Linked DNA regions of Mus musculus. The main gene of each other region encodes a partner of the protein of the gene in region 2 in a complex. Links are inferred from orthologs where the notes say so. Each region holds a gene or a part of one and is shown on either strand. Other genes may lie near its edges.

Region 1 (3,636 bases), on a different chromosome or scaffold from region 2:
CCACACCCAGCCTTGTGGAAGTTGTCAGGACAGTGGATAGCAGCATCAAGCCAAGGTGCTGGGGGTGGGGGGGAAGGAGCCTCTAACTGCCTCCCTTAGGAGTCAGGGACCCGGTGTATTTAGAGCCTTCCAAGGATGGTTTTAAAGCGGAGCTGGTGTAGGGGCATTAGGACGTTCACGGGAGAGGCTTAAGTGAACTGGTATTTCCACCCTGCCAGGCATGCCTGCCAATCTACAGGAAGGGCCCTTTAGGCTCCGGCTGTCCAATAGTGCCTCCAGCTGTGAAGGCAGCCAAGCCCTACGCTGCCCCCTGGTGGCACCTCCTTATGCAGACATCATTGGTGTTCTGTCTGGCCTTCAGCTGCAAGGCGCAGAGCTGGAGGTAGCAATGGACAAGATGGGAAGGCAAAGCTCGGTTCAAGCGCCCTTCCCAGTTCCTGCTCTGCCCTTCCCCTCTGCCCACTCAGGCTTCCCCAGAGGAACCACACACAGAAAGGCTGAGAGAATGACTCCAAAGCATCTTTTATTTATACAAAAAGGACATATTTAGTAAAAGACACACCAAAAAAAGAGTCGGCTGTGGCCCCAGAGATGAGGCAGGAAGGTCTTCTGCACTCCTGTTGAAGAGGCAGGAGGTGGCCTGGGCTAAGAGTTAAGGAGTAAGTGCTGTGTGGTGGGGCCACAGAGAGGAGCAAGCTCCCGTCAGATCAGCACTGTGAGCAGGTCATGGAAGGGACTCCCAGTGGCCTCCCAGCACTCCCACAGAGGGAGGAGACCAGTTTGTACAGCCAACTGGACGAAGATCTGCTACCTGGTTCCTGGAGGGTGCCCACTAAGGGACACAGGACAGGAAGCCCAGGATAGGAAGCAACTTGGGGCGCGAAGGCCAGGGAGAAGCAGGCGCTCTGCAGTGGCCAGAAAGGTCCCGGCGAGGAGGTCAAGGTGCTTCCTGTTACGTGCGGGCATTGCGTTCTGTCTCTGCCAAGCACTCTCTGACTAGTGCCCGAGCGTGGATGATGCCTGGGGTGCGGTGAGGATGGGGAAGTAATAAACAGGGCCCCAGAAACAGTCCACAGCCACCCTTCAGAGCAGACACTCCCCCACCGCTCCATGGTTCAGCAAGAGCACCTCTAATCTAATGAGGATGGATGGGATTAAGGGTTGGCTAATCCGAGTTCCCAGGCACCTTCTTGGAAACAGACTCATTTGAAAATGGAAAAGTTCATTTAAAACCCCTCCTTAGGTACACGTTCTGTTCCAATCGAGGCTGGCCCAAATGTCCTGTCCTGACTCTAGATATCCTCCATCCTTACTGAACTGTCTTAAAGTTCAGTGTCTGTGTCCTGGGCAGAGCAAGGGCAGGCCTGTGGCTTCACTTACCTCTCTTCAGGCGCTCCATGGCACTCTTGCTACCAGCATAGGTGGGCCGGATCTCTTTGCCCATCTCCTCTATGACAGACAGCAGGTCCGTGTAGGTGCTCTGAGAGCCCTGGGAACCAGGTGGCTTCATCGCCTGTGTCAAAAGAAAATACAGACGTGATCTCAGACCCCGAGGGGATCTCCTGTCCTCAGCCATAAGCAAGCTCTTGGCCACACTCACCTGTACATACCCCATGGAGGGCGGACCAAAGTCGTTAAACAGCGGTCTGAAAGGTGCGGCAGCTCCTGGCACTGAGCCCGATGGCGATGGGACACTCCCGGCTGCAACGACACCAGCAAGAGGTCAGAGTGTGACAAGGGCCTCGTCACAGATTTCCAAGCCCAGGACTGTTCCCTTGACTAACCTCCAACGGCATGCTTCTTCATTCCACTCTGAACAACTTCGGAGACACACTCCTCCCCCCTGCGCTCCACCTACAAGCTCTACGTGACCACGCCCACTTCTCAGGCCAGCAAACTGAGGCTGAGCCAGGCTCGTCTAGCAGGCCCCGGATTGCAAAACTCGAGCGGTTTCTCTCCAAGACCTCGACTGCCCGGACAAGGCGAACAAGGATGGAGTTGGAGCCTCACCTGTAGGGACCGGGGTGCCTGGCCCGGGGGTGCTGGAGCCCGGGGTACTGCTGGGGGCGGGCGCGATAGGTTTGTAGGACATCCCAACTCCTCAGTGCGGCGGCCGCCAGCCGGCCGCTCCTCTGGGGTTGGCTGTCCGGCAGCTCAGCCGCACTCTGATTGGCAAGCGAGCTGCACGCCCCTGGTAAATAGAGCTCCGGCCGGAAGGGTGGGCGGGCACGATCGGTCCTCACTCTCGATTGGCGCGCTCAGCTGTCACTCGAGCCTCCTCATTGGCTGAATCTTGCCCCCGCAGGGCGCAACCGCTGCCGATTGGCCTCCACCTTCCGGACCTCGCACCTGTCTGCCCCGGATTGGGCGGTGACAGTCGTCCTCCTCAATTGGCGAGTTCGGGGCCCGGGGCCGGCGCGCTTTCAATCCGATTAGTCCCGAGGTCCAAGAGGCGGGGCCTCGGCAGCGGGCCAGTCTGGTCCCCGCGGTTTGCTCCGGTGGTGTGTGGCGGGCCGCCGAACACACTTCGTCCTCACCGCTTCGCGACTTCCCTCCGCTCAGAACTCCCAAGGCCACGGCTCCCACAGTGTGAGCACTCCGCCCTACCCCGAGCGTTTTACGTCACCTTTCACTGGTTCCGTGTCCCCCCCCCTTCGGCTGTGCGCATGTGCGCGCCTCAGGCCTGTATTTGTTCCCATGGCAACGGTTCCCTCACCAAAGTCATTACCAAGCTCCTTCTCTGGATTGGTTTGAATCTTCGGTCTAGGCAGGTGGGTCCAAGGCAGCCAACGACGCTGCTCGACACTGAACCCTAAGTCCCCTACTCTCTCCACAGACAATGATAGAGCATCATAGATCAAGAATTGCGTTAGGTCAAGTCAGGACCCTGGTCAAGACCCTTGGCTGGAATCTCAACACCTCATTAATGGTTTCCTCCTGGACTCTTTTTGGCGGGTGGGATGAGATTGAGACAAGGTCTCAAGTAGCCCAGTCAGAACTCGAACTCTCCGGGTAGGGGAGGGTGACCTTGAATTCCTGATGCTCTTGTCTCGGAAATGCTAAAGGATTACAGTCACACGCCAGTTTCTTGCCCTAATAGGTTTCCGTTTTCTCATGAAACATGAAGACAGTAATACCTGGAAAGTAAACTTGGAAGTGGGTAGAGAAATAGAGATGAGAGCCAGCCCCATATGGGTTGAAGCATGGTTGATTATTGTTCTGACGTCATTAATGAAACTCCCACCTGGGTCTGGCCATCTAGTTCCTATTTCCTTGAAATCAATTCACTTTAAAATTAAAATAAAACTATTTTATGTATACGAGTGTTTTGTCTGCATATATGTCTGCAGAACTGCTGCTTTAGCCCTCAACTCACTTTTTAAAAAAGCGACTGCAGAGATGGCTTAGCAGGTAAGAGGACAGGCTGCTCCTCCAGAGGACCCAGGTTAGAATTCTAAGCATTTACATAAAGTGCCTCAGAACCATCTGTAACTGCATTTCCAGGGGGCCCAATATCTCTTTCTGTTCTCAGTGGGCACCTAGCAAGCAGGTAGTACACAAACGTACAGTCAGAGAAAACACCCTAGACTTTTTTTTTTTTTTTTTTTCTGAGAAAGGGTCTCACTATCTAGCTCT
Region 2 (3,944 bases):
GGGCCCCTTTCCACCCACACACAGCCCTCCAACTCCTCAGGCCCATCACGCTGCATGCCATAGAGGGAGATTTGGGAAAGGGGCAGAACTGGGTGTGGCCAGAGGAAAAACTGGGTCATGCTACAGATTGGGGCAGAGTTCACACTGAGAGCCTGCAGTGCTCCCACTTGGGAGGGAAGCCCCAGACCTTCAAGCAAGGGGTTATGGCTAAGATGGGAAGCAACGCTGGTCAGACAGCATCACCCAGCCTCTCATAAAGACAAGGAAGGAAAAGTAAGTCTTCCTCCTTACCCACCTCACCCTCGCAAAGGCAGAGCTCCGCAGGCCTACACCTCAGTGATCAGACACAGATCTAAGTCCCTTATCTCAGCAGCCTAGGACTCAGCAGCAAGAATAATGGCTCTCTTAAATGACAAATTTGAAAATGATTTCTTCTGGATATCTCACCCTCCAGTTGGGGCTCAGGAAAAGGCAGAAGTGAGAGCCATGCCGTAAGGAACAAAAAACAGGACAGCCAGGCTTCACAGGGTAGTAACCAGGACAGCCGGGCTCCACGGTGTAGGAAACTACGTGGACGCAGAGAAGATACCGACCTTGCAATGAATGTGGGGGAGTCAAGCCAATAGGTGCCTTAACTAAGGGGGCTCTAAATAAGGAGACAAGAGAAAGACATCCACTTCCAAGCATGACATCAGCCATCACTTGAGGGCAGGCACTCAGGCAAGATGGTTATAATAATACGGGTTTAGCCAGTCCAGGGAGCAACCCCAAAACACAGTGCAAACCCTAACACACCCACACAAACACCTCACGCCACCAATCCAGACCAGACCCCAAGCTACCTCAGAGTGGCGGAAGCCCCTAGTAAAGATCCAAGATTATGTCCACACCAAGGGCCAATTCCCTCCCTCTGCCCTCACTAGGCTACTGCATGCTGCCTCTCCTAGCCCTCCATCCTTCTCCACTCAAAAAAATCCCAACAATCTGACTAACAAAGTTCTACAGATCTGATAAAGAGTGAGATTCAAACTTTACACTCTTGAAACAGCACAGAGAACCCGTAAGAGATCGGGACAGAAAGCAACCAACACTCTCGCTTTCTTCTCCAGGGAACAACCGCGGGATCCCAGATGCCTGGCAGGGCTCCCGCAACAGAAATCCCCACCGCACCCCACCATGTCACCACCAGAGTCGGAACCACCTGCATTCCTCCAAGAACCTGCACGAGGTAAAGCTAACCCAGAGAGCTCCCTCAACCGGGGACTGCGGAGCATTCCAGACAGCCTTGAGTGAAGCCAGCTTGCATCTGGGTCCGTGGTGCCCAAGAGGCACATGGCTTCCACCTCCCCCAGCACCCCCCAGCACACAAGAGCTCCGCAGAAAAGAACCACTCCCTTCGGATGCCCTCCACCCTGGGTTCTGCACAGGGACAAGCAGCGCGCGAACGCAGCCTCACTGGAGTCTCGAGGAAAGATCAAACATCTTCCTGCCCTGGGCCCTCCGGGAAGATGTTACCTGGATGGGGTGGGGGCAGGCTGTTGTTCAGAAGTGCGTCCATATCCTCCTCCTCACTGCCCGCTGAGCAGGGGGACGGGGAGCCCAGGCCCGACGCCATCCCCTTCCGTTCCCCGGCCAGGGAATTGGCCCAGCTGCTCCTGCCTGCGGCCTGGGGCCCTCTGCACTGGCCCGAGTCACTGTGCGGGGGAGGGGGGAGAACAGTGAGTGACGCGCAGTCCCCCTCCCCCACCCGCTCTTTCCGCCCCCCTGCCCTACCACCCTAGCCAAGCACCCGAACCACTCAGGCTGAACTTAGTTCCACACTCCTCGGGGACAGCCCGTGAGCCGGCTCCCCAGCAGGAGCCCCCAAGAAGAGGGAATGACGCCCCCGAGGGCAGGCTGGTGCATGGAGGGGAAGGAAGAAGCTAGCCTGGCCTGAGCCAGGAGTGCCTGGGGAGTGGGGTTCGAGTGGGGAGGCGCGGAGAGGGTCAGGGGAGGCGGCCGGTGCTCGGGGACACAAGGTCACTTGGGAGTGGGGGGGCGCTCCTCTGCGCCCGGGGAGGGGCCAGTCCCCAGACAGGGCAGCTCTCCAAAGGCTGTCCTCTGGGACAACTCAGGTTCTCTTCCGGAACGGCGGGGACCAGGGGGCGTGGAGGCTCGGGCGCTCCGGGGTCCCGAAGAGTCGGGACGCCGGAGGAAAGCGAGCACCCACCGGGAAGGGGGCCGGGCCACGTGTCCCGGGGGGCTAGCGAGCAAAGGGCGAGGGGCGGGCGGGCAGGCGCTCGCCCGGCATTGTGGGAGGCCGAGCCCAGGAGGGGGGGGGGGCGGGGAGCAGGACTCCCTCAGGGCAGGGCGCCGTCTGGAGGTAACCCGGCCGCCTCCGGGGAAGAAGGGTCGGCTCCCTGGAGAGGGGACGGCCCGCGGGCCCCGGGACGCCTGAAGAAGGGACAGGTGAAGGAATGACCCCCGGGACGACGTCGGGCTGAGAGAGATGTCTCTCCCGTTGCCTCGCGCGCTCCTCACCCTAGAGCCGCCTCAGGTCGCGCTGGGTCTCGCCGGTGTCACTCCCGCTCCAGCTCCTCCTCGCCGCGGCCGAAGGGGGGAAAATGGCTCCGGCTCCGGCGTCGCCTCTTAAAGGGCCCGAAACACCGGCCGGGAAATCCCACCGCACAGGCCCCGCCCCCCACGGACAGCCCATAATAACCTCAACCAACTCCAACCCCCCCCTCCACTACCGCCACCCTCCTCTTTAGGTCTCCCGGGCAACCCCCGCCCCCTCGTCGCTCAGGCAACCATTGGCCACGCCCCCGTCGAGCGCGCGCGCGCGTCACCTGGGCAACCGCCCACCTCCTGGCCATCCCATAATACACACGGACACCCCACATACACACACCCCGCCCCCCACACTCTATGCATATATGTGCCCGGGGCTACAGACATATAGTGCAGATCTTTTACAAACTAAAACCTGCTCCCCCTCCCTTAGATAACCCATAATAACCACTCTTTGCCAACTTCTTCACTCTTGGCCTTACTGCTAACATCCCATAATAACTCATTACCCCTCCCTCCCCTTGGCCATCCCATAATAAGCACCCCTCCCAGCACTTCAGCCTCATATCCCATAATATTCAACCCATCCCCCACCGACATCCCATAATAACCACCCCCAGTTTGACATCCCATGATTGTCAGAAACTCACCCACCCCATACTACAACAACGGACACTGGGCCTCCTCCCACACGGATCCCGTAATAATCAGTCTCCCACTTTCTATACTGATATCCCATAATATCCAACCCCCCCAGAGCTGCCCTCAGTCCCTGCACTAGGGTTGAGATTCTAGATGCTCACTTTACCACCCACAGCCTTCCCAGTCTCTTTCTAGCTCCATGGTCCATAAATTACCATTCCTCCTAGCAAAGAGATACTCACTAATGATCAGCAGCTCTGCTGTCACCCCACAAATGGACATCTAAATCTCCTCCACTAACACTGGGAAAATGTCCTATCATTTACTCTATCTACTCTCCCATCCCATAATTTCAAAAAGCCCACGATACCATAATTGTCCCAACACAACCCAGTGCCACATCCCATAATACTTCTGCTACACTCCATCACCGCACACAGGTCTGGCCAGACATCCCCTAATTGTCACAACCTCCCCCACCTCTAGAAGTTGTCAGGCTCTTCCAACTAGAGCAGAGAGGGTGTGGCAAACTGCTAACTGCCCTGTCCCCACTAGCACACACTTTAGTCCCTTCCTGGGCAATAGGAGCATTCTGGGCTCTCAAAGTTCAGGACCCCCAGACTTCCTAGCTCATCATTTGCAGACACTCAGGAACCAAGAGCCAACCTCGAGCCCCAACAAACCCCACCAAATCCAGGTATGTTCTAGATACTTACCTCCCTCCAGCTTTGAATGTTTGTGTAAACTCAAAC
Region 3 (3,500 bases), on a different chromosome or scaffold from region 2:
TCACTTTGAAATTTCCAATACAGTGAATGAAGGCAAGCATTCCATGTCATCATTCAAAATGCACACACTGGGGCGGAGACATGGCTCAGCCGTCAAGAGCATACATTGCTCTTCCAAAGGTCTTAAGTTCCAATTTCCAGTACTCCTGTCTACCAGAGCTCACAAACATTAGTATCTCCAGCTCTAAGAGATGCAACACTTCTGGTCTTGTCCAGACAGGAGGTGTGTACACACACACACACACACACACACACACACACACACACACACACACACACATATTCTAAAAGTTTAATTTTTTAAATTACACAGGGTTTCTCTGTGTAGCCCTGGCTGTCCTGGAACTCTCTCTGTAGACCAGGCTGTCCTTGAACTCAGAACTCCGCCTGCCTCTGCCTCCCAAGTGCTGGGATTGAAGGCATGTGCCACCACGCCCGGCTAAAAGCTTAATTTGAAGACAGATACCATGGGGAAGCCGCTGACCTTTGTGTCGAAAGGCTGCAGAGACTAGGAAGGAGGAGGACACTGTGGTAGCTGGAGACTCCCCTGAGGTCCTGCTTTTTTTCACAGGCAGGCCCCACAGACAAAGCATAGCTTTCTTGGGGGTTCTCCTAGCACTAGCCAATGAGCCCACACATGCCTGGGACACCTGGAGCAGCTTGATTCTGAGAAACAGAGGCTGAAAGCAAGGTCCTCTGACCTTTGAGACCTCTCCCACCTCTCTGGTCCCTGTGTAAGTTCATGTGACTGTGACAGCCTCGGCTGGCCTCTGACACTTCCCTCTGACACTTCCCTTCAGTCAGGCTGAGAAAGCGGATACCGTGGCTTCAGAGTTAGGAGGCTGGACAGAGTTCAGGCCTGTCTACAGAGCTTTAAGGCTGGGGCTATTTGGGGAATAAGCTGAACAGGCAGCAACTGGCTGGCTCTGGCTATGAGGTTGTGCATGGGCATCTGGAGGCCCAGGTGTTAGAGACAGGGTAACGAGGCTCAAGCACGGAACAGAAGTCAGAAAAGACCAGCCTCCCATACACAGCTCAGAGGGACGCACCTACTCCAACAGCCAGGCCACACCCAGCTGCCACCCAAGTGGGCTTAGCACCTCATTCTGAGGTCCAACAAACACCAGAAAATCAAACAGAAACCACAAGGCAAAGGGAAGGGCATGGAAAACGCAGGAAACAGGTGCTACGTCGGGCCAGCCACCCTGAAGGCAGCACACTGTCCTAGCATATGACAAGCTGTAGCTGAGGCCCCCAAAACAACCAAACAGCAATTGCCTCAGAGACTTGGTGCACGGAAGTGGTGCTCTCTGAGCCCCCAGTCCCAGCTAAGCCAACAGTTCCAGAAATGCGGAGCCTGACTGGGTCAGAGGCTGAGTGCTTCCTTAGGAGACAGAGCATCTGGAGCCCATCAGAGCATTTTGCCAGGGATGCTGAGGCGAGATGTGGAAGGGACCTGCACGCCTTGGATGCCAGGTCTGAGCCAGCTCATGTCAATCTGCTCGCACTTCCCACCAGGCCTGACAACCTGAGTTTGATCTCTGCTGCCACCTAGGATAGACTCAATTCTTGTAGGGCATTCCTGACTAAACCCCTACATGAATGAATGAATGAATGAATGAATGAATGAATGAATGAATGAATGAATGAAAGGAAGGAAGGAAGGAAGGAAGGAAGGAAGGAAGGAAGGAAGGAAGGAAGGAAGAAAGGAAGGAAGGAAGACAGACAGACAGACAGACATTTTAACCCCCCGAATGGGGAGGGGCTGGTGAGATGACTCAGTACGCTAAGGTGCTTGCTGCTAAGCCTGACAACCTGAGTTCAGCCTCCAGAACCACGTGAGAGGACAGAACCAACTCTACAAATTGTCCTCTGACCTCCAAAGTACACTAAGGACTTGAAGGACAAATTGGATTCCTGAGTCTCACATTGGGGAATGAAAAACCAGACTCTACACACACACACACACACACACACACACACCATGAATGTAGAATTATAATGAGCCAGGTGTGATGGTTTGCCAAAGAGGAAGGCAAGTTCAAGGTCAGTTTGGGCTATATAAATAAATGAGACCCTGTCTCAAAAAACATGGGATGGAGCTGGGGAAATGGCTCAGTGGTTAACAGCACTGACTGCTTTCCCAGGAAACCTGGGCTCACTCACCTCCTAGCCCCCACAGGGAGGCTCACAACCTTCTCTAACCCTAATGCCTTCTGACTTCCATAGACACTGCACACAAGTGGTGCCCTGACATACATGCAGGCAAAAGAATAAAATAAGTAAGGAACAAGGGTGGGAATGTGGCACGTGGCAGAATACTTTCCTAGCAGAAACAGTATAAAATCAAACTCATAATGAGCTACCAAAGGGAAATCCGAGGTCAAGGAGCCACAGGGCTCAACAGGCGGCTCTAGGGTTTGAGCCTTGCGGCTGGATGCCAATGTCCACTAGGACGGAGGCTTGGAGGAGCTGAAGCCTAGGTAAAAGCTACAAGTACTACCTCCAGCCTCCTCCATGCTGCTGGCCCAGCCTGAACCTCACCTTCTTTCAGCAAGTCAGTGATGTCAGCCTGGTACCGGTTTCCTACACGAATTTCCCCTTTATCAGCCAGGAGGGTCTTCTGCTGTGGGTCGTAGACTAGAGAGTAGAAGAAGAAATCCTGAAAAATACCACATACAAGACAGAGGTGTCAGACAAGTGTTCTCTTCTAGCTGCATCCAACAAGCCAGTCCAGTTCTGAGGGTGAGGGATGTGGTCCTGCCTGTCCAGGACCCAGGGCAGAAGCCCTGCAGCAACAGAAGTGAAGTAAGGACTAGGTGAGTCCTCATCAAACTGCTAGAGGGTACTTGCCTGGTGAGGGGCTCTCAAGGCTGCTGTGTACAGCCCCCTCACAAAAGCCACTGTCTTTCTGTCACTGCAACCTTTTGAAACTCAGCTAATGAAGGCCAGGCACAGTGGCACACTCCCTTAACCCCAGCAGTTGAGAATCAGAAACAAGCAGAGTTCTGTGAGTGAGGCCAGCCTGGTCTACATAGTGCGCTCCAAGACAGCCAGGGCTACATGAGAACCTGTCTCAAACATCACCACTACCCCTGGGGGATGGGGGGAGGGGAGCAGGGAAATCAACTTATGAGCGCAAAAAAAAAAAAAAAAACATGGTATCTAGGAATAAATTCTCCATGCTGAAGGCAGGCAAGCACATGAAGAGGCACCAAGCACAGCGCTACAGACCATACCAGGCTGCATCCTCATGGCTGACTCTGATGCTCTGTGCCTGGCCAGCAGGCTGACACTCACACAACACAGCCTTTCTTAATCTTTCCTGTGTCAGGCTTTAAGCCCAGCCTCACTCCATACAATCAGCATGGTGTTAGTTCTGAGTAGTGGTCTCCTGGGCCCAAGGTCACCCTCCTCCCTCCCGTCACCACCTGGGCCCTCAGTGCTCCCTGTTCCTGGGTCTATTGCCCAGCTCATCCACAGCTCCTTGGCAGCTGGCCC
Region 4 (3,500 bases), on a different chromosome or scaffold from region 2:
ATTCCTAACTAGTAGAAATTAGCAAATTTTATTAAAACCTCATGAACCCTTAAGACTGGGTTGTGATGTCTCCTTAGAGCTTTTATTGAGTTTACACTGCCACGCTACCAAATTGGTAGACGTGCATCACTTAAGGTCCCTCTGGGCAACTGTGCCACAAAAGCCCGCTCGGTCCGGACACCTCCCCCACCTTCTGATTAGTGCTACTCTGAAAATTTACAGGGATTTTGATGTTGTTTTTCAGGGTGGCATGATATAAATGGCAGCAGACAAGAACAATGTTTAAAAAAAAAAAAAAACAAAGGCTGTACACAAGAACTTATGTTTATTGCAAACAAACAAACAAAAAGAGAGAGCGAGGGAGAGAGAGGATGGCAAGGAGCGGAACGCGGAAGGTTAAGAATTGAAAAGCGTCTTACATTCTGCCCTAATGGCAGCATAATTAATAGCAACAAACGGCCGTCTCGCTGCCTGCCGCAGCCGCAGGGTGCTTTTGCAGACCTGACGAGCAATTTTTGTGAAATACGTAGTACGAAGGAAGAAAGCTTGGCGGGTCTTCACTGCAGACTTGGGGCTTCCGGTGTTCCGGACCGGCATGCCCTGCAAGGCCTGCCGGGACATGTGGCTTCTTGCGCGCGGGTCCTGTAATTGTGAAAAACAATGGTATTTTCAGAAGAGAACTTGCCAAAGCACACAGCCACGTGGAAGCATCTGTCACTCAGGAACCTGCCCCTCGAGGGAAACGCAGTGTGCCCGACTGGGAAGAACGCAGGGAGTGCGCAGGGCAGGGGTGGAACTCAGTCTCAGATCATAGGCACCATTGGTGAGAAGCTGCCCGATCGATCAATCGATTGATCGAGTGGCCCTGTGGGATGTTTATTATTTGTAAGGAATCCTAAGATTCCGGACTTGCCTTCCTCTGGTAGACATCCTTCATCTACACGGATTTACCAAGGCCATCTTTCAACTATGGTTCACTCAAGACTGGGCCCTTTTCGTCCCTCCACAATAACCAAGGAAAGAAAAGGCTTAATTTGTGTTTGCTATGTTATATAATAAAGTGTTCTCATCAGTATCTAAAGGTTACAAGTTGTTTTTAAAAACAAGACAATTTGTAAGCTCTCCTCTCAGGCAAACACCTCCCACACACACTATCCTTTTTTTTCCCCCCTGAATAATCTCAAAAGACCAATATTTTGAATACCTGGGGAAAAATTCCCATTTTTCCCGGCTCTGGTGTTCACACCCACTGTGAGTATACAGCACTAAATCCCAGTTTTGCTCATATTTGTAAGTAGTTCTGTGTTGCATTTCTGCTTCCAAGGAAGAGGCCAATAGCCAGGAAATGTGGCATTTTCAACCTGCAGACCCCTCCCACATACCTCTGCAGTCGGGCTGGGAGACTTCTCTTCGTCTGACTGGGTAGGCATTTTCAGACCTCCATACTTTTTCCAATACAGCCAACAGGTCGCGCAGAGTCTACACTGCATGTTAGGTGGGCCCCAGGAATACCACTGATGAGACTGTGTGGCTAAAGACAGAGGGGAAGGGACCAGGAAATCCATGATCTCAAATTAATGGAACCTCAGAGACACCCTGAAGCCACGGCTCCCTTACAGTGCATTGCATGGGCCTGTCTACAGCCAGTTCCTAAGGCTGTAGGCCAAGCATGAACACACACAAGATGTGCGAGTGCGGTTTTCAGTACCCCGAAGATACTAAGTTGCTTGTTTCCAGCACGCATCAAATGTTTGTCACATCTATTGAGAGGAGCCACATCTTGACTTATGCCTCAGGCTGCTGAGACTTTATTTTGTTAATTAAAATTTACTTCATTATATACATGTCTAGAAATAAGTCTTTCCATGGATATGACTATTACTCTGAAGCTCCTTGGCAGTGTGGAAAACCTGAACAGAGTGGTTTAGAAGCTCTCTTAAGGATTGCTACGGTCCTGAAGAGAGGACTCACTGCTAAGTCAGGAGAGCCAGGTAAAATCAGAAACCTGCCTGCTGTTTCTTTCCTCGGGAAACAAAATCTCACTTTAGAATTTCTTCCTGAATACAGAAAGTCCCTATCATGTGAGCAGAGCACAGCTCCTATGCACCATGCTTAGTAAGGCCTGACCCCAGCTGGTTTACTGTTTGGCTGGACACACAGCCTGTGTCAGCTTCTGCCGCTCACACTTGGGTCCCACATGAAAAGCTTCCCGAAGCGGAGCCAAAGAGCGATGGGAACCGAGGAGGTGCAACACAGTTAAACATGCAGGCCCGGACTACTACACAGAGCCTGTTTGAACGGTTGTCCCTGCCTGTAAGTCAGCAAGCACAGGAGGGTGTCCACTAAGAACACCTCACAAACCAGCATGCAGAGCTGGACTACCGCTAGCACTAGACCTGGGCTGGGCATGGAAAGCCCCTGGGTCCAGTCCCCTACCCACACCAAAAGAGCCAGAAAATAGACTACTACACGTAGTTGTAGTTGCCTTTAGCCAATTCAGAATAACTTCCATCATGTGCCGCTCTTGGAAAATTCCTTTCAAGCCAGGCCAAACCCCTTTCCCCTTTTAACTTAAAACATATAATAAAGTTGGCTTTTTCCAGGCAGATTTTGCACCAACATTTTCATTATATGCATGTGTCATGAGTACAGGTGCCCTAGAAGGCCAAAGGTGCCGGGCACACCTGGGGCTAAAGTGACAGTTGATTGTGTGCCCCTGATGTGAGTGCTGGCAACCACACTCAGGCCCTCTGCAAGATCAGGGCACCCGCTGGAGAGTGGTGAGAGTGGAGCGTGGCAGGCATGGCTCTGGCAGGCCGTACCCTTCTCCCTCATTCCCTCTGCCTTACTGAAAACCGTTAGACTACATCCCTAAAGCTAACCACAAGGCCTATTTCCTTACTTGGCCACTTCCTCCTCCTTAGGCTGACTACCAAGGTCCAGCAATCAAAGTCTCTGCAATCCAAAGCCCCCTTTGGCTCATCTAATTAACATGCCCAATTAAAATTAGTCACCTCACTCTAACACTAAGACTCCCCTTGTACCTTTATAAGCCTCCATTTGCCTATGCGCTCGTCCGTCTCCTCTCTCTGCAGAGGCCTCAATGAGACAGACACCCCTCCCCCCGCCTCCTCTCCTTCCTCCTCATCCTCCATCTCCTATGTTTGTCTCTTATTCCCTGTCCTCTGTCCTTCTGGGGCAACTGGCTCTCCTTTGTGTGAGAACCTGATCCTGGGCTGATACTTTTCCTTAGACTCTTTACCCCTGAGCTAGCTCTCTAGTCCCCAACTTGACTGTTGACATCCAGATGAGGGCACCAAGGACACATATACATACGTCCACCTGCACACGTGTATACCCACATAGGAATGTGCACACATAGAAGAAGAAATAGAGTTGGGCTGTGGTGGCACATGTCTGTGATCCAATCTCTCCAGAGGATGCTGAGGCAAGGGGGTGGCGAGTTGGAGGCCAGCCTGTGCTCGAGGGAGACCCTGCCT
Region 5 (3,500 bases), on a different chromosome or scaffold from region 2:
TAATAGATTGACTTTAATGAAGTTCACCTTCCACAGTTAACGTCGGAGAAGATTGTCCGGTGTTTGATGGACTCTTTGAGTTTTGTCAGCTCTCCACGGGTGGTTCAGTTGGTGAGTATCCTAAATCAGTCAGCCTCAAGAGGATCTGAAGGGGTTAGAGTGTCTGTAGGTTTTGTCTAAAGCGGAAGTTGTAATGGTAGTAAGGTTGTGTTGGCTTGATTTTGCTGTATCACCCAGGTGGGCCTCCGTCTCAGCCACCTCTGTGGCTACCTCCCAAATGCTTGCTTACAGACATGTGCTATCATTCCAACTTAATGAGTACCCAAGCTGTCTTGTAGTTCACTGTGGGGCCCGGGCTGACCTTGATATTGTGGAAATCCTCCCCTGGAGCCTCTCAATCATTGGGATTAGAGGCTTGGAATATTATGATATTGCTATTCACTCTTCTGTTAATGTAACAAAACCTGCGGTAACTTTTAAAAGAATGGTTTATCTTGGTTCACAGTTTGGGAGCTTAACTGGCCCTGTCCTTGGGGACTGTGATAGCACATTATGGTATGTGCATTTGGGAGAAGGCCAGTTTACCTCATGGCCGCTGAATGGAGAAAAGAGGATTCCAGTATCCCTTTCAAGCAAGATCAGATCTCCAGTAAACTAAAATCAGATCTTGGCTCTTAGAGAGTCCACCCCCTTCCAGTGGTACCATACTGGTGACTAAATGTTCCCTGGGGTTCTTAGAAGGCATTTCAGGTTCAAAGTAGCAAGTATAATTGTCTTTAAAATGCCAGTGTTTAACAGTTTTTACTTGAACACAGTCTTTAAGCTTGTGTCTTTTTACTCAGAGACCTTTTTCTCCTCTTCTTTCTTCCGCCATTTTTACTAAGACTTTGCATGTGCACTGTGATTTAGTTGGGTAAACTGTAGGAAAATGGTTATCTGAGGAAAGCTTAGGCTCCGAAGTTATAATCCTTTGCTTTTGAATGCCAAACCTTTTGTGCTTACACATGGCATATTTAATAGGGCTTCGCTTATATGTATTTTGTGTAACCTGATTTTTTAAAATTCTGAGTATTTTATAAATAACATAGCATGTATCTCCTTCTTAGCTGGGGCTGTGAAATTAAACCGGCAACAAACTGATATGGCTGTCAATTGGGCTGGAGGACTACATCATGCCAAGAAGTCAGAAGCATCAGGGTTCTGCTATGTTAATGATATTGTGCTTGCCATCCTCGAATTACTTAAGTAAGTTAATTCAAACTGAATTTTCCCTGTGATCAGATCTCTTAATTGAAAGAAAAAAATGATTTTAAAGACTATCAAATAAATGGTAATAGATTAATGCTGAGTCTTCCAGGGTTTGTTGTGAGCCCCTGCAGAAGTGTGAGAAATAGACCACTACAGTGGGAGAGCGAGAGGGCAGACAGTGCCGTGCCTGAGACTGCCGGTAAATGGTCTCTGCTCATTTAGGTTTGCAGTCGTCTAAGCTGATTAAAAATGGCTGCTAGAGATCCGGAAATGTGAATGCTAAAGTAACTTGAAGTCAAGCCTTTGCAACTTGTGTTATAAGAAGTTTGTCTGGCCACTTAGTAGCGTGGCTGACCCCAGTTCTCTCATCCATCCTCTACACAGACACACAGAACACATAGATAATAGACACACAGTGATGCCCAACTGCTGAAGGGGTTTTGGAAGTTATCCTTCACTGCTTTTTCAGAAGTGTGAAGGTCCTTAGGAGTGTGGACACTTGTGAAACTAGCTTATTTTCCACTGTTAGCTATAATGCTGCAGTGAGTTGTATTTCAGCTTTGACTGCAGCTGTGTTCTGTGGGCTTTGAGAGTGATGCTCTTGCCCCGCATGTACATCCCAAGAGTTAACTTCCTGACCTTAAATAAACAGCAGCTAAGTGCTGTCAGTGTAACATATCTGACTCCCCCAACCGACAGAAACCGGAAATCTCCTTCATTGACTTGAAGCTTCTTCCACTGGCTTCAGTTCTAGAGATCTGCTGCTTTTTCCTTCATAGCTTAGTCTTGAGTAAGCCCAGTTCTGTACAGTTCTTCACCTGGTAAATCTGAACATGATTTGATTGGTTTGGTAAGCAGCTCTCTTTGCTCATCTAAACACATTGGGCATTTGATCATGTTTGATTTTGAACTTTATGAAGAAGTTCTGCTATGATGAAGCCCGCTCGCTGTTTGCACTATTTTAGATTTTCTTAGTGTTGCTTTTCTGTGCCTTGAGAACATAAATGCCTGGGTTTGATCATGCCAGCTTACGTTGTATGAGCACAGTTACAGCATCTTTAAATAATAAACAAAATGTTTTAAGTCAGCCACAGTGACAAGATAATCATTTACTACCTTAAATGGTGAATTTAAATTTCATTTTGTATGTATTGGTGTTTTGCCTGCGTGTGTGTCTATGCACCACATGTGTGCAGTGCCCATGGAGGACAGAAGAGGCCGGTAGATCCCCAGGAACTGCTGTAAGAGATGGTTGTGAGTCACCATGTGGGTGCTGGGGATTTAACCTGGATTCTCTAGAAGGCAGCCAGTGCTCCTAACTACTAGTCCAACTTTCCAACACCAGTAGCTTTTTTTAAATACAGTTTTTTTCTATTTGCACTTTGACATAGGGATGGAACTGATGTCATTCTATGGTGGAGTGACTACAGAAGCTCATTTGAGTAGTTGCTGTGACTGGTGGTGTACAGAGCATCAGGGAATGATGAAGGCACTTGTGATCTGTCACAGTCATGAGGTCTTAGTATGCTGTAGATGATGTGTAAAATGTGCTCATCTCGCTGTAAAAGGTGTTTATGGATATGGACATTGGACTGTCTCAGAACTGTCATGTTATAAAATACTCTGAGTTTTGTTTTATTCTTGGACCATTGGAAACCGGGGAGTGGGGTGGCACACCGGCATGCCAGAGGCAGGTAGGTTTGAGATGAGCCTGGATGAGCAGCTATCAAAATAACCACAGGGAAAAGGAAACAACCTATAGTTCTGCTCACTCCAAAGCTGTTGAAAGAATAAAAATAATAACAGCACTATGTTGGTTACAGTTGCCCATAGATTATTTTATAATGCTGAAATTTTTTTAATTGATTTATTTTCACTTTATGTCATTTGTGTTTTGTTTACACATGTGTCTGTGTATGTGTTGGATTACCTGGAACTGGAGTTACAGGTAACTGTGAGCCTGCTGTGTGGGTGCTGGGGACTGAACCTGCGGCCTCTGGAAGAGCAGCCAGTACTGCCAACTGTTGAGCCATCTCCAGCCCTCCCTCCCTCCCTCCATGTTGAGTTGTGTTGTTTGTTTGTTTGAGATAGGGTTCCTCTGTGTAGCCATGGGTCTCCTAGAATTTTCTCTGTAGACCAGGCTGACCTCAGACTCAAGAGACCCACCTGCCTGTACCTCCTGATGGCTGTGATGAAAGGTGTATGTCACTAAGCCCAACAATTCTGAAATTGTGTAATGTAGCCCTTGGCAT
Region 6 (4,034 bases), on a different chromosome or scaffold from region 2:
TTTTCTCCAGGACTTGGGGGTCTGTCCCAGCAGTGCCACTTGGCTGTAGGACCAGCCAAGGCTCTTCCAGGCCTCAGTTTCTCTACTTGTTTGAGGCCATATTTCCCAATGGAAGGGTTAAAGGCTTTGGGAATGCCCTTAGAGGAGTGGGGATACAGAAAGAATGAGAAGTACCCCCCATACTGGTGGAGGACCTCAAGCCTATTTTCCACCACCCCGGAGGAGTGGAGATAAACCTGACTTTGCGTCAAAGCCAGCACCATATGCAGTATTAGGGAAGGTGTCTGTCTCCCCCACCCCCCGGGAGGGATTCAGGGTGGAAGGGGGCTCCTCCGCCCATCATGCCCCCTTCTTCCGGAAGACACCGGCACCTGGGCTGAAGGAGGCCAGGGAGGCGGTTCCACGTCAGCTCAGCCGGTGTGGAGCATCTCAGACAATGAGCGCAGTGTGAGAGAGCTGAGAGGGCTTGGCAGAGGCCAGGAAGCTCCTGGGGCCAGGCTCAGCTCCCCGCCCCCATGCCAGACAAAGAGCGGCCTGGGCCTGGGGAGCTGGCGGCCTTCCCGCCACTTGGGGCGCCCTGGGGGGGGGGGGCTCTCGGGCGGGGGAAGGCGGGGGCTTTGTCTAACTCCGCCACTGCCACTGCCGGCCAGGCCGCAGCTTGGCAACTCAGTGAGCAGGAGGCAGGCCTGGAGGGCGTGAGAGATGATGACAGGGAAGGCGGAGGAGCCACTGTGAGAGTCCATCTTGGATGCAGATGGCAGGGGAGAGAAGGGCTTTCTGCAAAGTAATACCGGCAAGCGGGCGGGCCCCCACCAAAATGCCGAACACCTGGAGACCCCCGCACGCATCCTGGCATTCCCCATTGGCAAAATAACTACAGCTGAATACAGGTGCTAGCAAGCCCAGAACAGGGCTTCAGAGTCCCAGGGGCGGTCTGCACTGGGACCCACACCCCAAAAGGTCCCCAGTGTAAGACACACGGGAAACTAGCCCAGATCAAGCCTACGTCTCTGGTCTCCCTAGGGCTGGCAACGCAACCTACTGCCCTTCCATCCCAAACACTGACCAAGAAGACTGAGAGGCAAAAATCATATCTGACGACAAATCCTGTCACCCAAAGGGAGTGAAACCATTTGAAAAGATACAGTGACTGCATGCTCTTGGGGGGGGGGGGTCTTTGTGCCCACGTGCTAGCGTTTCAACTCTCCCAGGCTGGCACCCTAAATCTCAACCTTTTCCAAACCCCAAAGAGCAGAGAAGTGGTTTAAAACACACGTCCAGAGCTTTTCCAGGTCCCTCTGAGGGTTTCTGGAGTTCTGGAATCAACATTTGGACACAAGACCTCCAACTTGGAAGTGCCAACGCGGGTGGGATTTTTAACACACAGCGACCATAACCAACTTCTACCCCCAACTCCTCCCAAAGGCCTTATCCCTCCTGGTCCCCACTACTTGGCATCTGTTGGGGCATCAGACTACTTGGGGTGGTCTGCTCACAGCCAAATGTCTGGGAGGAGAGGGTACTGGAATTGGACACAAAGCCAGTCACCTCTGGAAGTCAGTTTCACATCCCTATTCCGGGTTCCCTTGGGGTCCGGGGCTAGCCCCCAGCCACAGCCCAAAGCTGCCTGGGAACTTTGCAAGAGTTTCCTCGGCGGCGCCCAGGCCCGGAGGGGAAGGGAGACCAGGTCCACTTGGCTTGCGCAGCGCGGCCCTGCGGGGACGTCCCCACGTGGGAGATCTGAGATGGGGACCCCCGGGACCGGCGAGCCGCAGCATGCCGCCCACAGAACCCACGAGGCCGGGGCACTGCAACTTCTTCCAAGGGGTCTCCCGAGGGCCGGGGGAAGGAACCCGGGAGTCGCTCTCATCGCCAGGAAGCGGCCCCTGCCCACCGGGCCCGCCGCCCGGAACCCTGGCCAGATTCCCTCCCGGGCCCGCGGCCGCCCTGCACCCGGCTCGGCCCCAGCCTGTCCCGCTCCGCCGACCCTCCGAGCCCCGCTCCTTGCTCACTGCGTCGCCCGCCTCCCGCCGGCAGGGGCCCTCGCCGAGCCGCCCAAAAAGCCTAAGGGAAGGGGAAAGAAAAAGGGGGGGAGCTGGGGGGGGGGAGCCTTCCTCGCTCGGCTGCCCGCGTCCTCGCTTCCCCGCCATCCGCGGCCGCCCCGCCGCTCACACCGGGAGCCCCCGGCCGCTGCCCCGCCGAGCTCCGGGCGCACCGCGAACTTTGGCAGCGCAGCGGAGGCGGCGGAATCATGGCGGCGGCGGCGCGGCTGAGTCGGCGGCGGTGGCGTTCCCGCTGCCCCGGCCCGGGACACCTCCTTCCCTCCGCCCCGTTCCCTCGCGCCACCATCCTCGGCCAGCACGCCCGCCCAAGGCACCGCGCGCCTCCGGGGAGCCCCGGGCCGCGGCCCGGAGCGCGAGCCCCCAACTTGGCGACACTTGCGGCGCGGGGCGGCGCGCGCGGCCCGCGCTCGCTCGCTCTCACTCACCGGCGTTGAGGGCGGCGGCGGGCATGTGCGCGGTCAAGTTCGGCTTGTACGACATCCCCGCGGGCGGCGGGCGCGCCGGGCAGAGCCGGGCCAGGCCGCGAGCGCGCCGGCGAGGCCGAGGCCGAGGCCCGGGCCGGGCGGCCCCACGTCCCCGCAGCCGTCCGAGCGCCCGCCGGGAGCCCGCGCACTTTTTGTTGTCGCCGGCTCGGGCCGCGCCGGCAAATATGGCCGTCCCTCACCCTGCCGCCGCCGCCGCCGCCGCCGCCGCAGTAGATCACCCATACATCGGGCGCGCGGCGCAGGGGCGGCCGCAAACTTTGAGCCCAGCCGGTCGGTGCTGGGCCGGGGCCGGACCGGGAGGGGGCGGCGGGCGTCGAGGGGGCGGCTCCTCTCGCGGCCGCGCCCCGCGCTGCGCCGCCGCCCGCAACTTGCCAAAGTTTGGGGGGCTGCGGTCCCCGCGGCGCCCCCGCCGCGCCCCGGCCTCCCGCGCGCCGCTCATTGGCCCGCGCCTTCCTCTTTTCTTAAACAGCCAGGGAGGATGGAAGAAGTACTTTTTTTTTTCCTTCTTCTTCTTCTCAGTGTCTCTTGACTGTGGGGGCAGGGATGGAAAATTACCTGGAGAAAATGGTGGCGATTGGGGTGATTTGGTTTTGGTTTTTTTGGGTTTCTTTTTCTTTTTGGTTTTGGTTTTTTTTGTTGTTTTTTGTTTTTTTGTTTTTTTTTTAATTCACGGAAATCATTCCAGATGCCCACGTCTGGCTCTATCCCAGAATTAGAATAACCCATTCTTGACATTTATTTCGAGACGGGGAAAAAAAAAATGTCATGTCTCTGCTTGGATTAAGTGAGTTTGTTTTTTTTTTTTTTTAACCCTTTGGGAACCCAAGACGCCTTTGAGACTGACAAAAGCTGGATGGAGAGACAACGACACCTCCACTAGAAAATTCGCTCTTGCATCCGTCATGACGTTTGTCACACGAACTCTTTGGAATATTTCAACCGAGCACCTACTGTGTGCCCGACACGGTTTTTATAGGCTAAGGAGGCAAGAGTGAACTTGGCAAAGTTTCGACTCCCCGGAGTTTGCACTCCATTTTTTTTTTTTTTTTTGGACCCCTCTTCCCCTCCCCACCCCACCCTATCCCGCCCCACACACGCCCCCGCCCATCTCTAAACTGACTGAAACGTCACAACCAAACGTATTTGGGATGTGATGAATAACCTTCCAAAGGTACTATATTTTGGAGTTCTGCCTGCATAGTAATGCTCATCACATTACATAAAACGCCCACCTTTTTCTGTTGTTTTTAATCGCCATGGTTTGCAGGTTTTTTTTTTTTTTAATTAGTCATATTTAGACATCATCTGTGGATCTGGTGACAACGGCGTCAGCCTCTCCGCTAGAGAAAAAAAGGGGACCACCACCGGGGTCTTAATCCCCCCTTCTTTGGGACGAAAGGTGCAGAAGAGGGGACCTCCTCTTCCACCCTCCCCCACCACCACCAGCAGCACCCTTAGGCTCCTTCTGGCAAACTGCTTCCTGGTG

What was found.
Region 1: Chd4 (region 2) and Cdk2ap2 share a complex: the UniProt entries of both Homo sapiens proteins name them as parts of the nucleosome remodeling and deacetylase (NuRD) repressor complex. The link is inferred for Mus musculus from reciprocal best matches to the Homo sapiens genes CHD4 and CDK2AP2.
Region 3: Chd4 (region 2) and Mta1 share a complex: the UniProt entries of both Homo sapiens proteins name them as parts of the nucleosome remodeling and deacetylase (NuRD) repressor complex. The link is inferred for Mus musculus from reciprocal best matches to the Homo sapiens genes CHD4 and MTA1.
Region 4: Chd4 (region 2) and Mta3 share a complex: the UniProt entries of both Homo sapiens proteins name them as parts of the nucleosome remodeling and deacetylase (NuRD) repressor complex. The link is inferred for Mus musculus from reciprocal best matches to the Homo sapiens genes CHD4 and MTA3.
Region 5: Chd4 (region 2) and Hdac2 share a complex: the UniProt entries of both Homo sapiens proteins name them as parts of the nucleosome remodeling and deacetylase (NuRD) repressor complex. The link is inferred for Mus musculus from reciprocal best matches to the Homo sapiens genes CHD4 and HDAC2.
Region 6: Chd4 (region 2) and Cdk2ap1 share a complex: the UniProt entries of both Homo sapiens proteins name them as parts of the nucleosome remodeling and deacetylase (NuRD) repressor complex. The link is inferred for Mus musculus from reciprocal best matches to the Homo sapiens genes CHD4 and CDK2AP1.

What each region holds. Positions count from the first base shown.
Region 1 is NC_000085.6:4,095,882-4,099,517, reverse strand, and holds Cdk2ap2 (cyclin-dependent kinase 2-associated protein 2), read right to left. Parts: upstream 2,168-3,636; 5' UTR 2,093-2,167; coding exon 2,011-2,092; exon of another isoform or gene 1,807-2,010; coding exon of another isoform or gene 1,785-1,806; intron 1,702-1,784; coding exon 1,601-1,701; intron 1,514-1,600; coding exon 1,381-1,513; intron 1,021-1,380; coding exon 953-1,020; 3' UTR 501-952; downstream 1-500. UniProt on the Homo sapiens protein: Acts as a component of the histone deacetylase NuRD complex which participates in the remodeling of chromatin.
Region 2 is NC_000072.6:125,094,837-125,098,780, reverse strand, and holds the start of Chd4 (chromodomain-helicase-DNA-binding protein 4), read right to left. Parts: upstream 2,801-3,944; 5' UTR 2,521-2,800; intron 1,758-2,520; exon of another isoform or gene 1,695-1,757; 5' UTR 1,616-1,694; coding exon 1,516-1,615; intron 1-1,515. UniProt on the Homo sapiens protein: ATP-dependent chromatin-remodeling factor that binds and distorts nucleosomal DNA. Acts as a component of the histone deacetylase NuRD complex which participates in the remodeling of chromatin.
Region 3 is NC_000078.6:113,122,278-113,125,777, reverse strand, and holds part of Mta1 (metastasis-associated protein MTA1), read right to left. Parts: intron 2,662-3,500; coding exon 2,544-2,661; intron 1-2,543. UniProt on the Homo sapiens protein: Transcriptional coregulator which can act as both a transcriptional corepressor and coactivator. Acts as a component of the histone deacetylase NuRD complex which participates in the remodeling of chromatin.
Region 4 is NC_000083.6:83,789,684-83,793,183, reverse strand, and holds part of Mta3 (metastasis-associated protein MTA3), read right to left. Parts: intron 1,532-3,500; coding exon 1,383-1,531; intron 643-1,382; coding exon 420-642; coding exon of another isoform or gene 397-419; exon of another isoform or gene 307-396; intron 1-306. UniProt on the Homo sapiens protein: Acts as a component of the histone deacetylase NuRD complex which participates in the remodeling of chromatin.
Region 5 is NC_000076.6:36,988,044-36,991,543, forward strand, and holds part of Hdac2 (histone deacetylase 2), read left to right. Parts: intron 1-36; coding exon 37-111; intron 112-1,106; coding exon 1,107-1,245; intron 1,246-3,500. UniProt on the Homo sapiens protein: Histone deacetylase that catalyzes the deacetylation of lysine residues on the N-terminal part of the core histones (H2A, H2B, H3 and H4).
Region 6 is NC_000071.6:124,351,829-124,355,862, forward strand, and holds the start of Cdk2ap1 (cyclin-dependent kinase 2-associated protein 1), read right to left. Parts: upstream 2,801-4,034; 5' UTR 2,544-2,800; coding exon 2,489-2,543; intron 1-2,488. UniProt on the Homo sapiens protein: Inhibitor of cyclin-dependent kinase CDK2. Also acts as a component of the histone deacetylase NuRD complex which participates in the remodeling of chromatin.